Linked DNA regions of Oryctolagus cuniculus. The protein of the gene in region 2 interacts with the protein of the main gene of each other region in a pairwise test. Links are inferred from orthologs where the notes say so. Each region holds a gene or a part of one and is shown on either strand. Other genes may lie near its edges. The genes, in order: PTN, UBQLN4, PRPF40A and SPP1.

Evidence for each region.
Region 1: the proteins of UBQLN4 (region 2) and PTN interact in a two-hybrid assay, tested with the Homo sapiens proteins (2 studies listed by BioGRID and IntAct). The link is inferred for Oryctolagus cuniculus from reciprocal best matches to the Homo sapiens genes UBQLN4 and PTN.
Region 3: the proteins of UBQLN4 (region 2) and PRPF40A interact in a two-hybrid assay, tested with the Homo sapiens proteins (2 studies listed by BioGRID and IntAct). The link is inferred for Oryctolagus cuniculus from reciprocal best matches to the Homo sapiens genes UBQLN4 and PRPF40A.
Region 4: the proteins of UBQLN4 (region 2) and SPP1 interact in a two-hybrid assay, tested with the Homo sapiens proteins (2 studies listed by BioGRID and IntAct). The link is inferred for Oryctolagus cuniculus from reciprocal best matches to the Homo sapiens genes UBQLN4 and SPP1.

The regions. Positions count from the first base shown.
Region 1 is NC_091434.1:173,077,279-173,081,466, forward strand, and holds the start of PTN (pleiotrophin), read right to left. Parts: upstream 2,843-4,188; 5' UTR 2,495-2,842; intron 1-2,494.
Region 2 is NC_091438.1:42,636,661-42,640,714, reverse strand, and holds the start of UBQLN4 (ubiquilin-4), read right to left. Parts: upstream 2,848-4,054; 5' UTR 2,768-2,847; coding exon 2,660-2,767; intron 551-2,659; coding exon 399-550; intron 66-398; coding exon 1-65. Other genes in the region: ragulator complex protein LAMTOR2, read left to right, coding at 3,868-3,935. UniProt on the Homo sapiens protein: Regulator of protein degradation that mediates the proteasomal targeting of misfolded, mislocalized or accumulated proteins.
Region 3 is NC_091434.1:89,207,268-89,210,829, reverse strand, and holds part of PRPF40A (pre-mRNA-processing factor 40 homolog A), read right to left. Parts: intron 2,933-3,562; coding exon 2,824-2,932; intron 2,327-2,823; coding exon 2,262-2,326; intron 1,907-2,261; coding exon 1,742-1,906; intron 1,016-1,741; coding exon 907-1,015; intron 1-906.
Region 4 is NC_091439.1:77,729,237-77,733,402, forward strand, and holds the start of SPP1 (osteopontin), read right to left. Parts: upstream 2,817-4,166; 5' UTR 2,672-2,816; intron 1,639-2,671; 5' UTR 1,625-1,638; coding exon 1,571-1,624; intron 1,461-1,570; coding exon 1,422-1,460; intron 1-1,421. UniProt on the Homo sapiens protein: Major non-collagenous bone protein that binds tightly to hydroxyapatite. Appears to form an integral part of the mineralized matrix. Probably important to cell-matrix interaction.

The DNA.
Region 1 (4,188 bases), on a different chromosome or scaffold from region 2:
AACAAGCTTGAGACCTGCAAATTAGATTCTGGATTCTGACTTCTGGTCCTCAGTCTACTTATCACTTGATTATTAACGTATTAGAGGATTATTAATGTATTACATGGTTATTAACTTATTACATGATTATTAACTTATTACATGATTCTGAAGAAGCCCGTTGCCTGGGAAGTTTTTGAGTAGCCATAAAACCACCACACTGCAACTAGGAAAATAATCGGAATTCAAGTGAGATTGTCATTTAAATGGAAAAAGAATATGTTCAAAGAGAAATAAAACATTCACACTTATTTTATTCCTAAAATTGATTTTGCTAATACAAGTGATTGTGAAACTTTAAGAATCTATTTCTCTTATATTATCTTAAACGATGACTTTTTGTGAAAATTCAGGTCATTGGCTTTACTGGAACAATGGTAATAAAAATCCCCATTTAAAAAATGCAGGTCTTGCTACAGTTTGCTTTTTGTAAAGACCACATAAGGCACATGGAAACTTGCGGTAAATTAATGTTCCTTGTACCAAACTCCATGGAAAGAAATCTAGGGTAAAAGAAAAATAGTATATGATATGCTATACTGCATATAGTTAAATATGGTTTATTATGTTCATTCCCTGTAATACAAAGTCAACAGTTAAAAAGCCCCGTGTTAGCTGCAGCTTGCTCTCTGTCGCAGCTCTGGCTTTGAGAAGGCGATGCATTTGTGTCCACAAGCAAACCACTGGGGCACAGCTCTGCAAGCAGCTGTACAACTTCATCCCAGAGAGGTTTTTCACGAAACTGAGAGGAAAAGTGTCCTGGGCTTCAAGTAGTGGGAGGGGAATGATCGCCTGTCCAAATTCAAAGTATACAGCCAGAGACCATAAAGCATGGAAGTTTCTTAAAGCACAGAAAATGGTGTTGGATGTTTTTCAAAGCAAATATAATACCTAAAAAAACTTTTAATTTAAGTAATAAAGTACAAATATTGCCACTCTAAAATAACGCATGTCCCAAAGGGAGAGAAAGGTAATATCCACTCTCTTTTCCTTTGAATTCAGCTGGTCTTTAACCGCTTTTTATGACTTAGTCTTTAAAGTGCATAATCAACTTAGAAAGGAACAGACCAAAGATGGGAGACACAAGCTTGGTTTTCAGTGTGGATCACCTTCCCTTTTGTTTCACTCCCACTACCTCTTAATAGTCCTGCAAATCAATTCATCCCCAGATGATTAAGGGGCTAACATGCACTCTGCTGTTTCATCAATTCCACATTTGAATGAGATCATGAAGTGGCTCCATTATGTTATTAGTTACAAAGCTCTTCTGGGTGGTTCCTGACTCTCCTCCCAGGCCCTTCCCTCCAACACACACACACACACACACACACAGAACCTCTTTCTCAAGCTACTGCTAACACATGCCATGACAGCTCAACTACTAAAAGAGCAAAACTACTAGAATTTGGCACTTCCCTCACATTGCTCATTTCCTCCTCTCGTGCGCCCCCAACTCCACACCTATTGTCTCAGTGTATCCCCCAATTTCACAAAGCAGCTATTAGACAGGGCTAAGGTAACAACAGAGTGTATATAAACTCTGTGTGTATTCTTGAGTGGATGTAGGTGTTGTGTTGTTAGGTACAAGGGTGTGTGTGTGCGTGTGTGTTAAGAGGAGAGGGAGTTTTATGTTCTGTACATTAAGTAAGGAAAGAATTTGGTACATTCCTCTCAAAAAATATTTTGTTAAGTTATTAGAACAGTCAATTCAGAAATTGATGGTCTAACAAAGTATACCTGGGGTAACAAACATACCCTAGCTTTCTGTGGGTAAAGGGAAAAGGGCAAGCAGGACAGTGCAGGACAGGGATCAAAGTCGGCAACCAAATGAGCAATGGGGAACCATGGTGCATCTTGGAAAGTTTGGACTTGACCATTTCTCGAAGTGTTCCTGGCTGTCAGGCAGGATTGACAGTGCCAGCTGCTCAGTGTCACCAGGCAGGGGGACAAACAAGCCCCCACACGTCACCCAGAAATGCCAGCTAAGGGTCATCCGCTGGCAAGCCCCCGGGGTACTCCGAGAAGCAGAAAAAGAATGGGAAAATGAGACCTGCTCACAAGGGCTGCCTTCCTGCCTCCTCTCTACTGAGTCACACACACACACACACCTCCCAAAGCCTCAGGTTTGACAAAGAGCAACCATGCACCCTGCAGCCCACCCTGGCAAGCTCTGTAGCAGTCAGCTGGAGCAGCCTCCAAACGCAGGCTTCCCACGACAAAGGCTTCCCTCCTTCTGCTCAGAAAAGCACACTCTCCTTAAACCTGACCTGACAGCCCTCCCAAAAACATGCCTCAGTCTGCAGTAAGTCAGTTTTGAGAGCAGTCCTATCAGCAACCACACCAGGCAGCCCCTCTCCCACTCCCAGCACCTTCATCCGCTGGCAACCAGAAAAGTGGCACAGGGTGCAAGCACACTTAAGCCCCCTGGGGGAAATCACACATTCCCTCCGCTTACTTTGAGCTGCAAATGTCCTCCCTGGCGCTCAGGCTGCCTTTGTTGGAAGGGGCGAGGTTTGCCGCTGCTGGAGTCCAGGTACCCTGCGCGCTGCTGCTCCTGCCTGGGCGGCCGCTGCTCTGCTCTTCTGTACAGACGACTCACTGGTCTCTTTCTTCCTCTCTCTCCACTTTGGATTTTCCTGTGCTCTGGGGCTCCCTTGGCGGGATTTTTGGACTGGAAGGCGGGGAACCTGATCTGCTTTTGACTCAATTACGCCCTGACAGGGAGGGAACGGAAGGGAAATGGAGAATGGGAGGGATGGGAGAGGATGCAGGCTGGGCGAGGGAGGGAGAGTGCTTTTCACCCGAGAGCTGATTGGGAAGCTTATTAAAAGCAGGCTACTCCAGGGGCAGTCTCTCCCCGTGGAGCAAGAAAACGGATTTGAACCAAGAAGCCAGGAGATGTAAGACTGTATTGTTTTTAGCAGAGAGACGGAACACAGTCTAGCTTTTGCAAACCCCATGCATGCTCGGTGCTTTCCGGGGGCGCATTCCCCAGTTTACCAAGTTAACCTATCACACACAGTGACATTTTAGGTTGCAGTTTTGGCCCCTGTCATTTTTTAAAAATAATATTCAGGATGAAAAAAACAGCTTCTTGTTCTTCCCCACCCCCAAACGCCCTCCCTACACAGAAGAACCCCAGCCAAATTCAGCTGTCAGTCCCAGCCCACCTGAGCCTCCCAAAGTGTGCAGAGTACTTTTCTCCATTGTCACAGAGTGACAGATGTCTTCAGGTTCCTAATTAAGTGCTGCTTTCCTTTAGGTTTTTTTTTTTTTTTTTTTTTTTTTTGCTTCTGTGGTGCTTTTATGAGCCTTTGTAATGATAAGCCTTTGACATCGACAAAGAATTTAGGGGATTGATCAATGGAGCTCAAATGCTAGGTTTTATAGAACTCAGAGGCTGGGCTCCTTGACTTTCAGGAATTCCATCTCATTCAATGGAAGAAAGATGCTGAGATAGTAGAATTGGGACTGCTGAAGTCATATGTAGATGAATATTTATGGCATAGATGAGATTAAAAGTGTTGTATGAAATGATTCAGACTTACAAAGCAGATTTCCACTAACATTTACAGAAGTGAATTGTGAAGTGTTCTGTCTCTTGTCACTTCTTTCCAGCTCCTTCCAATGCTCCTTTTATGTCCTTGCTATCACCATTTGGCCACAGCCCACATGCCGGCTGCACCCCCCCATTTGGTTGTGGTTTGTTTGTCCATTTCTGTGGTTCTGAGCTCACGTCCTTCTATTCAATTTGACAAATATTTGTTAAGTACCTTATTTAACTCTTTTCCATTCACTTAAAACCACCCCTGACATCCCAAAGTAGAAGCACTGTTTTGTGGCAGGTAGCTTTTCAGGGATCTGAGGCTCTTCCATCGATTGCAACAAGCAGAAGTGTCCCACGGAGGAAGGAGTCAACTGGGGGCCAAGAAGCAGCTCGGCAAGTAGAGCTTTTAATCAATCAATCATTTTTTTTTTATTTTTTTTTCCACAAGGAGGTGCATCAGAAATTCCATTAGGCACTTTCTATCTATCCCCTTAAGGAAACTCTCCAGACACAGGGCGTACACCAACCTCCAATGAAACACAGATTGCAGCTTCCCTGTTCTCACAGGAGCCCATTCTCCCCGTGAAGCATCTGCTGGTAAC
Region 2 (4,054 bases):
AGGGCGCTGAGGCGGGGTCAGGCGTGCAGGGGGAAGACGCAGTGGCAGCGCCTGGATCTTGAGCCCTGAGGACAGAGAAGGGAGGATCCCAGCGGTACCACAAAGCTCCCCGGAGCTGGCTGAGGTGAGCTGTCACCTGCTACACCGAGCAGCCCCTGAGCAAGGTGGATGCTGGGGCCGCCGCAGCTCAGCAAACCCAGGCAAAGGAAGGAGGGAGCGGGGATCCTGTCTTCTGGCATTCTGGGAAGTCAGCGGCCCTGGTCCTGGAGGTGAGACCACATCCAGCCAGGAGCTCCCTGCCCGGGCCTGGGCTTAGGGCCTCTAGGGAGAGTTGGGCATGGCTGAGAAAGCAGCTCAAGGGGGGGCCCCAGGAGTGGGCTGCGCCCCTCCTCACTTACTTCTGAGGGGTCTTGATGACCAGATGGACAGTGAGCCCGTCCTTGATCCCGTGCTGGTTCAGCGTGTCTCCATCCTTGAGGATCTTGCCCGCGAAGATCAGGACGAGCTGCTCCTGCTGGGCCTTGAACCTCCGGGAGATCTCCTCTTTGAACTGCGAGCCAGAGCCACGGGGGCGGGGCAGGCGTTCAGCCTACTGCTTAGCTGGCTGTGGCTCCCATCCTAGCACCTGAATTCCATTCCTGGCTCTGGCTCCCAATCCCAGCTTCCCACAAATGCAGACCCGGGGAGGTGAGGCGCTGGCCCTGGCTGCCTTAAGTAATTTGATTCCTGCCACCCAGATGGGAAACCTGGATTGAATTCCTGGCTCCTGGCCTTGGCCCAATCCCAGTTGTCATGGGCATCTGGGGACGGAACTAGCAGATGGGAGTTCTATTTCTCCCCCCACCCCCGCCTCTCACCAGGAACCCTGATTCCTCATCAAGGATTTCAAAGGGAAGTCCCTTCGGCTGTCTCAACCCCACCCCTCCAGCTTCGATAAGCAGCCCCCCACCCCGTTAGTTTATTTATCTTATTTATTTGAAAGACAGAGACAGACAGCCACTGGTTCACTCCCCAAATGTCCCCAACAGTCAGGGCTGGGTCAGGCAGAAGCTGGGAGCTGGAAACTCAATCCAGGTCTCCCAGGTGGGTGGCAGGGACCCAGCCACCTGAGTTAGCACCTGCTGCTTTCCAGGGTGCACATGAGAAGGAAGTTGGAATTGGCAATGGAGCCAGGCCAGGCACTCCAAAATGGACTGTGGACATCCCAACAGGTGTCTTACCTGCTTTAAGTTTTGTTTACTTATTTGAGAGAGAGAGACAAACAGAGCAAACAGAGCTCCCAGCCACAGGTTCACCCCCCAAGTGCTTGCAATAGCAGGGGCTGGGCTAGGCTGAAGCCAGGAGCCAGAAGCTCAACCCAGGTCTCCCATGTGAGAGGTAAGGACTTGAGCTGCCGCCTGCTGCCTCCCAGGGAGCTTCTTTCTTAACCAGGAAGATAAGCCAGTCAGAGGCTCCTCTCTCAGCGCCATCCCAGTCTCCCACCCGAGGAAGCCCTCACAGCTATCTGTACCCCAGACTGAGCAACTGCCCCATCAACTCCTTCTACGGCCTGGCGCTTCTTCAGCCTTCTCCTCTCCCCGCTCCAGCGTCCCGCCTCTCCTGACTTCCAGCTCTCTCAACAACAGCAACAACAAGGTCCAGCCACTGAGCACGAACCAGGCACGAGTTAATGGTCCGGTATTTTCATTATTAACTCCGTGTTCAAGATCAGAAAACGGAAGAGCAGGGAGCTTAGGTAACATCCTGGGCAGATTGGAACTCAGGTCTTGACCAGACACTCTTGCCTCTCAATTCCAGCTGTTTTCAAAGTCAGCTTTGCAGGGACCCCTCTTCTGGAATTCAGTCATTTTATACTGCTGGGAGAGTTCAATTCTCAGTCCCTGCAAAGCCCAACCCAACCCAACGCACACTCCGAGTAGAAAAGGCGCACTTGCTAATAAGCAAAGGGAGCTTCCAAATCCCTCTCTTCCAACCAGATGGCCCATCCTGAAGCCCCGCCTATGTGAAATTCTGGAGCAACTACAGGGGGGTGGCGAACGCAGGCAAGAGTCCCTCATTCAACAAAACCTTATGGAGCACCTACTGCACACTGTGCAAATCTCAGAAGAGCTGAAAACCAAGTGTGACCACCTCGGGCTTAAAGAGCAGGAAGGATCTAGGGCAGAGAACATCCTCCACCCCACCCCGCGCCCTGCGTTCGGCGGACTCTGGGCGTTCTCCGGGCCACACAGGAGACGCGGGCGCTCTCCGCCTGCCCCCTACCCGCTCTACGGGTCCAGCACCTAGCCGGGGCCGCCACTGCGCCTCGGCGCCTCGAACCCCGGCCAGTTCCAGGGGCGCACACTCCCCTCAGCCCCAGGGTGCTTCCCGGGGGCCGGCGCAAGGTGTCCCCTTACCCACTCTTCCACCACGCCCCCAGCCCCGGCTCCAGTGCAAAGCCCGCTCCCCCCAGCACGCGCCACACTCCCCCAGACCCGCCCGCGCAGGGCGCCCCATATCCGCCTCTCCTGCCCACGCGAGTCCCCGCCGGCCCCCGCCCTCCTCCCCGGGGCCGTCCCGGACGCCAGGCAGTCACGGAGGCCCCCCGCCCCGTTTCTTCGTAGCCCCCTCCTCCGCACTCCCTCTCCGCTCCCCCCCCGCCCGCCGCTAGCCCTACTACCTCCTTGACCGAGGCTCGATCGCAGATCACAATTTCCTCCTTGTCCTTGGGGGTCTTGACGGTGACCCGAATGGGGGGCCTCGTCTCGGCCCCGCTCGGCTCCGCCATGCCGCCGCCGCCACCCGGCCGCCCGCCAGCCCGCCCGGCTCCTCCTCCTCCTCCTCCTCCCCGCCCGCCGGCCGGCCCGGCTCGGCTCGGCGCCTCCAACACTCCCCTCTCCCCTCCCCTCGCCGCGGCTCCGCCGCCCCCTCCGGACCCGCCGCAGCCACAGCGCCCCGGGCGGACTGGGGGGGCCACTGCAGCGGGGTCCGCCCAGGGCCCGGCCTGGGGTCCGGCCGCCGGGACGCGGCCTGGGTGGCGAGGGCCTCTGGGCGCGGAGGGCGTGTCCTTCACGGCGGGGGCCTGCGAGAGACCCCCGCCCGGCCCGAGCCTCGCCGCCGTGCCCTGCGACCCCGGGCCGCCCCCTCCCCTCCGCGGTTACTCCTGCTCCCGGACAAAGGACTTTCTGCGTGGCCGCTTTTTCTGTGATAACTTGGTCTTCCCTGGGCGGTGCAAGTTCCTTTCCAGGCCTGGGGCCTCGCTCCACCGGGAGTCTGAATTTTCTCCCCGCGGGACGTCCACTTAAAGCCTCCACTCAGGGAGTGACCCTGTTGCTCCCGATGCCCACGGCCTGAATGGCCTGTTCTGTACGGTGCGAGAACTGGGTGTTGCCGGCGTCACCGTTCCAGCCTCGGTTTCAAGAAAACAGAATCTCTTGCCTCATCCCACAGAATAGTGCCTAACGTAGAAAACCGCTCTGAGAAGTAACCCAGGCTGTGCCCGACAAATACGAGGATTTATTACTACTATTATCGCTTCGTGAGTAGCCAAGCGGCCATGATGACCTCTCTCCGCCAAGGGGTTAAACGTCCTCCCAACCCTGCCACATTGCCCTTCCACTCCCGCTCTTTTCCCCCACGACCGCGTGGTCTAGCTGAGGAGGCGAACTACAGTTCCCAGTGTGCCTTGCGAGACCACAGGAACTACGATTCCCAGTCCCTCCGCGGCTGAGCGGGGTGGGGCCAGAGCAGCTGTCACGGGGTCGGAAAACTACAACTCCCAGGGCGTTCCCGAGCGGGTCGCTGCACTGCCGGAAGCCGCAGGCCGCGGCTAAGCGGGACGCCGCTCGGAGGATCTGGGATTTAAAGGCTGGGTGACGAGCCGCTGGCATGCTGCGTCCCAAGGCGTTGACCCAGGTGCTAAGCCAAGCCAACACCGGAGGCGTCCAGAGCACCCTGTGAGTGCGGGCCGTGGACCCGTGCGGCGGCAGCGGAGTGGGGCGGGGAAGGGAGGCGGCCGAGGGGACCCGCAGCTGACCGAGAGCGCGCCTCTGGAAAGGGAAGCCAGCGTGCTGGG
Region 3 (3,562 bases), on a different chromosome or scaffold from region 2:
TAAGTTCAGAATCTGGAAAGCATATTTTTGTTTTTTATCCCTACTCCATACACTTCTTTTCCTACTACAATATATTACAGACAGAGCCTATAACTAAAGATACTGCATACGAGTCACATAATAGTAAATGTTAAGGTCCTTTAATAGTTTTAATGGCTTCTAGCTATGCTAAAAAATTTTGGGAGATATTTATCTAAGACATACAAACTCACACAGAGTTCTCATCCATTGATTCATTACCAAAATGCTGGCAATTGTTAGGCTATGCCAAAGACATGAGCCAGGAAACCAATTACTTGAGTTATCAGTGCCACCTCGTAGGGTATGCAATATCAAGAAGCTGGAATAGCAGATGGAACTGACTCCAGGTATGCCATATGTATAACGCAGCTGTCCCAAAAGTCTAAACCACTAGGCCAGAAATTTGTCCCATGTTCAAATTTTTGGTAATGCTTACATTTATGTTTCTTGAAGACTGGATAATGAAAATTTTAATAAAGCATAACAAAACAGGCATGAATAAAAGAGGTATTTCATAACTCTATCCTGTAAGTTCAGTTTAGTTGAAACAAATGCACATTACTTTATTCTTAAGAGTAGAATCAAATGCATCAGCAGAAAAAGCAGTTTTAAACTCAATGAGATAAATTATTTTTCAAAGTGGGCATAAGGCAGCTAATTATTGGCAACTTAAGTAATTTTGTGATGACTTCAATACATATGCTACAAGGAAAAGGATAAAGAGTAATATAATGACTATGCACTTCATTTTAAACCTTAGCTTCTAATAAAAAGATCAGTTACATCACACAGACAGGATAACCTAAGCAATAAAAATGGACATGGTGTAGCTCCTTATCAGAAGAAGTTTTGTCTATGAAACCAACAACTAGGAATAAACAATACCTTTTCTTTTTTTGAAAGAAAGAACAAAACATCTTCATAGATTTCAAGACGGTCACGTTCAGATATTGCATTCCAGACTTCCATCTCTCCAAACATTTGCTCTGCTTTTCTATTTATCACAAAAATAAATATTACTCTACATTATACAATAAAAATAATCTTAAAACATTTCAATTTTTAGTTAAATTTAAAATCACGAAATGATCATTCCTCTCTAAAAGTCCTAACTATACTACAAAGGATAGCTTTTGAACAGTGAAGAAAAGAATAAAACAATGTAAGCCTCCATTATCCATAGACAGAATATCTACAGTATCCTTATTCCTATGGGTAGCTAGAGACTACCAAATATCCACAGAACTAAGTTAAAATTTTATGAAGTCATAGGAAATTTAATGATCACATAAAATATATTTAAAAAATTAAGAATTCTTTACTAAGGCTTCTAAGAAAGAAAAATAAACAGGGAAAATAAGCTGAACTTACTGTAAAATTTTTAGTACTGAATTACTCATAATTTTAAATAAAAAGCAAACTACCACTGCTCAATTAAAATAGCTTATTTCTACTCCACAAATATTAAATATTTCAATTATGTAAAAGGGAATCGAGCTTTATTAAATCTAATCTTTTTTTCTTCAAGTCCCTAAGCAGTAACTCAGAGGGTCCACAAGTCAAATTTCATTTAACTACTGATTTATCTCACCAAACTGCCACACTTAATAATTATCTAATTATTCAATCAGTATTTGTTTTAGATCAGTCACTACAGCTGGCAAGAAAGTATGACAAAAGAATATAGTTAAACATAGTCTTGAATCACTAAAATCCTTACTTGTATCTGGTTGTGGAAGTCATTTTATCATGATTTTCAAGGAAACGCTGAAAGGATTCCTTAGCCTCTTTGTATTTCGATCTTGCTTCTTCTTTTTCCTCTTTTTCTGTCTGGACTTTATAGGCATTAAAAGCCTGCTTTTTTTCACTCAATTTTGCTAAAGCACTAAATATAAAAAAAACACATGAAATGAAGGCAAGAAAATACAATGTTAATACTTGGGGGGGAAAACCAACAACTTTTCTCATGCATAAATTAAGATTGTAAAAATTTATCAAAGAAATGGTACTAGAAAATAATTTCTAATTCAAAATAAGTAATTTCATAGAAAACAGGATGCTCAAATCTAATGACAAGCCTTTTAGATTTTTTTCTTTTTAATCCACAAAAGAACTTTATTCTTTATATCTTAAAACAATGAACATTAATCTGAATTAAAAACTGCACCATTCTCCACAATTTTAAATGTGCTAGGCTTGCTATGCCAAAGTGAAAAGTTTATAAAATAATGAAGTATTACCTGTATCGTGGATCATTAATGATCATTTTCATAGCTTGTTCCCATGAAGCATTGGATGGTACCCGCTGAAAACCATTTAAATGAAGAATTAAAATTTCACACTAGCACAGTAAGTCATGTAACAGGGAACCAACTACAATACTCACTGTAAACCTCAAGAATTTTCCTTTGTAGGATTTTGAAAAGTTCTAAATAATGTTTTATTGATGGGAAACCTCTGAAATCTACCTATCAACTGAAAAGAACTTGAACTCAAATTTAAACAGGGAATGAGTATTTTTTCTTTACAATTTTGATTAAAAGGTAAACAATTATAACTATAAATAAAAAACCTTGTATTAAATATTGAAGAAGAAATGTCCTGGTGTAGTTTTGTTCAAGTTTTTTTGTTCAAAGTTTCAAAATAGTGATCTTCAAAAAAATAAGACAATTTTAGTTGATTTTCAGTAAAAACAGTACATGAAATCAGTATTTTAAATAAAGGTATCAAGGTTTGCATTAAAAATAACTCATTTTATTAGGTAATTTATACACAGCATATAAAAATCTGTAACACAAATACCTTTTCCTTCAATAATTCTTTAAATGCTTGCTTTGCCTCCTCCTTTGTATTCCAAGTATATGTTTTTTTTGCTGGCTGGCTTTCCTCCTCTTCTTTTTTGGGAGTAAAACTAGAGAAATGTAAACATGTCATTGATAATTTAAACAAATACTTGCTTCAGTCAGAAATATAAATGCCTTTAGTTGTTATTTAAATAATATTTGATGTTAAATTTTGACAATTTGGGAATTAAGCCTCATATACAGATGCTAAAAACACAGGAATAAAGGCAATACAGAGTTTTCCTGAAAGTATAGTTATTAAAACCTTGTAGAAATGCCAAAATATAACATTAACTGCATTAAACACCAGCTCCACTAGTCTACAACCTAACCATTTTAAATGGTTAATTCAATGGTTTCATATTAGTGTGTTAATGACTGAGTATTTCGCATAACTGCAAAAATATAAAAAAGATATAGAGGTTAATCTAAACCAAGGTCAGCATATGCAGCATACTACACTAGCCAAAACTAGCCCACTCTGACTAGAAATATACACAGCCTTGCTCATTTGTTTATATACTGATTATGGCCAATCTGTGGGACCACAGCAGAGTTGGCATTGTTAACAAACACAAAACCCCAAATACTTACATTTGGTATTTTATCAAAAAGTTTGCCAAACACAAATCCAAAATAAAAATAATACAATCAAGAATTTTTAACTGGTTTTGGTTGGGGGTCATTCAAAGAATACA
Region 4 (4,166 bases), on a different chromosome or scaffold from region 2:
GAACCCGGGGTACCGGCGCCGCAGGGCGGAGTATTAGCCTAGTGAGCTGCAGTGCCGGCCAGGGAATGGAACCCAATTCAGCTCTCTCAAGAGTGGCAGGGATCCAATCCCTTGAGCCATCATTGCCACCTACCAGGGTCTGTATAAGCCGTTAAGTTGGAATCAGAAGCTGGGATGGGGCATTAAACTCAGGCACTCTGAGATGGAACATGGAGTCTTTACCCAGCATCTTAACCACCAGGCCAATGCGGTGCCATAGTCACATTCTGAGTGCTCAGTAGCCATGTGTGTCCAGTGGCTGTCTTATCAGACAGTACAAAATATATCAACATTGTTGCACAAGAATTCTATTTTTCTAAGCCGCCAGAGACTTATTTGTCTAGAAAATAACTATAATATGCTAGGGGAGAGAGAGCAAGAGAGAGAATTTCTCCTAGCAATGGTACATGACTTTAGTGACATAATGTCATGGCCTATGTGCCTTTCATCAATGTACCCTTGCCAGATTTTATTCTGTTTTAAAAGGCACCAGTTCTTTCCTTGAATAGTATGGCTTGTACCTTCTTTGGAGATGTTAGCTTTTCTACTTTGTTATTGTGATTCTATCTGTGTTCGCAAATCAACAGACACATGTACACACATGCACAGCCACACACACACACACACACACACACACACAGAGCACCTCTCTTCATGTCTTCATTAAGCAGTCTAATGGCCGTGACCCTAGGCAACTCTGCATTGGCCTCTATTCTATTCATCTGGAATTGAACTCTGTGTGCCTTTTTGTCCAAGCTTCTCAGAACAAGGCCCATTTGTTGTGTGGCTGGCACAGCTTCATCTATTGTGGAGGGGCAGGTACCTCTAGGGTGTTGGTCAAATCATTATAATAGTTTGGTTTGGTCTTATGCTTGGTTTGAAAAATGTGATCTAAAGTCAGCTGACGAGCACAATAGATACAAACAGCACAAGTAGACCTTCTTTGCACAATGGGCGTCCTACAAATTTCTTAGGCGATATTGTGGTCAGACAACAGTCCTGAGCCATAGCCAAGGTGAATTTCAAACATAGCTTTCCCCTAAGTAAAGCAAAGGATGGAATTTTCTGCTTCTAGAAAAGCAGGTTGACTCATGGAAAGAAAGTCACACCACTTCATGGAATTCACTTCACATGTGATTATGACCCAGATAATTATTTTATCATGTTAAAACAAGCCCAGCTTGCTTTTAAGAACACGCATTTATCAAAAACTATACTGTGCTTAGGTTGGGTCTAGATTCATAACAGAGGTCAATTAGCAGGGTTGTAAATGAATGGGCTTGACCATGAAGGTAAGTCAAATTGCAACAAAGATGTTTGGCTACTCCTGGCAATGAATACATGACCAATCTCACTAGATGACAGACTTCAAAGGTGCTTACCTGCTTTTCCTCGGAGCTGCCCGAATCAGCGTGTTTAACCTTTCAAACAGAAAAGAGGAAGCAACGTTACTGCGGGATTGTGTTCTAGCACAAGAAGGCACCCAGTTCACTTATTCCTGTGAATTTCCTGTAAGAGTAGCAGCACTCACCGGGAGGGCGTAGGCCATGCCCAAGAGACAAAAGCAAATCACAGCGATTCTCATGGTGGTGATTGTTCCTGCAAAATATTTTGTAAGAACAGCTTCATAGGTTAAAATGTAAAAATCTGCCACATTACAAAATAATCAACAATCACAAGTAAAACATTCTGTTGAATGTATTCTACTTGTTGGACTAACTCGTCTGTTTGTAACATGGTCTTTGGAATTCATGTTTGTCACTTCCATTTTCCACTTCACTGTTAGACAAGTGAGAGGGGAATTTTACAAGTCTCCATTTTATTCAGTTTTTAATTTAGAGTTCCAGAGATTATATCACCCCTACTCGATATCTAAACCTAAAAGCATTATCAACAGAAATTTAATTAAAATAATAAGCACGCATGGGAGTACCTAATATTCAGAGAAGAAAAACACAAAGGGCAAAAAAAAAATGAAAGAAATTTGCTGTCCCCATTTCTCCAGCATGCATTTAAAACACATTCTTACACCCAAATTATTAAGAAGCTGCTGCTTAGTTGAATTATAGCTATCTTTCAAGTTAGTTATTTAGGTAAGGTAGTCTAGAAGTTTGAAATGAAGAAGAAAATAGTGAAAGCATACAGGTTTTAAAAAATTTCTTGTTGACATTTTTAACAGCTAAACACAGAAGTAAAATATGCAGAAAGGATTTTTTCCTTGAAAATGAGATAGACCAAATCATTTAAAAATAGCATTATCAGTGGTTTACAATAGCACAAAAGATTATTCTTTATTTAATGCCTCCACAGTCATCCAGCCATTTAAAAGACACACACTCATTCCAAGGGGGCATAGAATTTTACTTTTTTCTGACTGGAAGCAGTTGCTTCAGGTCTTTGGAGAATTCAATAGGTATGTTTCTAAGTTTTGCATTTGGCTTTCAAAATATCTGAGCACTTTGGTTCCAGACTTGTAACATATCTGATCTGCTTATTCAACAACAACACAAAAACTGCAGTCTAACTGTTACAGCATCACAGCTTAAACTATTTTCCTTACAACTTGAACTTGCCCATGAAATTCAACTGAAAGTATGGACAGCAACACAGTCGGAGCAGGCTGCAGGCTTACCTTGGTCGGCGTGTGGCTGAGAAGGCTGCAACTGGCCCGAGATGAGTCCAGTCCCAGAGGATGCTGCGCTCTCTGCCTCCTCCTGCTGCTGACAGCCGGAGCCTCTCGGGATTTAAATGCTGCTCCAACATCCTCCAGCAACACAGGGAGGCGGAGAGATGTGTCATGAGGTTGTTTGCCACAGCCCAGCCCACCTGCTCCCACACTTCCCCTTCTGGTTTTGTGGTTAGAAACAAAAAACAAAAGAAACCAAAATTGACACACACACACACACACACACACACACGCACTTATGCACAATGTTAACTGGCTTTGCCATTTACTGGAATGGCATTCGGACTCCTGGAAGAGCACTTAGGGGTCTCCTAAAAGAAAGGGAAAGTAACTAGTTCTTACAGAGATTTTATTTATAATTTCTGAGTTAGGCGAAAAAATACGCATGTAAATCAGCCTGGAATGAAATGAAATAGAAAGGGCTTTTGTTTCCCCAAGTAATAGATGAAGGTGATATCCGCAACCACAGTTGCCGTTCTGTTTCCTGAAGAACTTGAAGGCCACTGTCGAGGCCCAGCGAGAGGAAGCGTCCCTCTGTCCCTTTCTACTCAAGCTCCGTTTTGTGACTTCAAGTCAGCAGCAGCTTGTCATTTAGATGAACGATCTTAGTGACACTGAGGTCCCTATTCATGCTCGTTCCGTTGGAAGACTTGCAGTGACCTTTCAATGACATGGATTTTTGTTGCACGGTCTGAATTGTTCAGAGGTGATGAATCTGGTAAATACGTATAAAAACCGCATCAACTAAGAGAGTGAGCGGCGATTTACGGTGGATGCTGCAGCAGTCAGGGCCGTGTCTGACCGAGAGCAGGATGACCGCCTGAGAGGGCTGCTTCAGGAGCCGCGCTGCGGCCTTGAACCCTGCTCCGTCTAGAGTTGCTGGCCTGACCTTGGACACATCACTAGGCTATCTATACCTGTATTCCTCATCTGTGAAATGCAGACCCTGTTAACCCAGCTCCTGGAACTTTTGAGAGGTTTACATGAGTCAGTATATGTACAAATAACAATGTTGGGTATGCATTAGAGGCAAACGCCCTAGTGTGTTTTTCAATTGAAAAATACAGATTTTTTATTTATCAGAGAGAGAGAGAGAGAGAGAGAGAGAGAGATCCCATTTGCTGCTTTACTCTACAAATGCCTGCAATGACCAAGACTGGGCTGAGGCTGAAGCCAGGAGCCAGGACAACAATCCAAGTTTCCCACGTGGGTGGCAGGAGCCCAGTTGCTGGAGCCCTCTCTGCTGCCTCTCGGGGTCTGCACTGATGGGAAGCTGGCATCAGGAGCCAGAGCTGGTGCTCCAGTGTCGGATGTGAGCTTGACAGCTAGACCAAGGGCCTGCCCCAGGCTATGCATATGTTAAGGGAAGATTAGATTTCTGAATTGTGTTTTTTTCCCAGTTTTTCTTCCAAAATATATGAATTTGGTTATTTAATGAGAA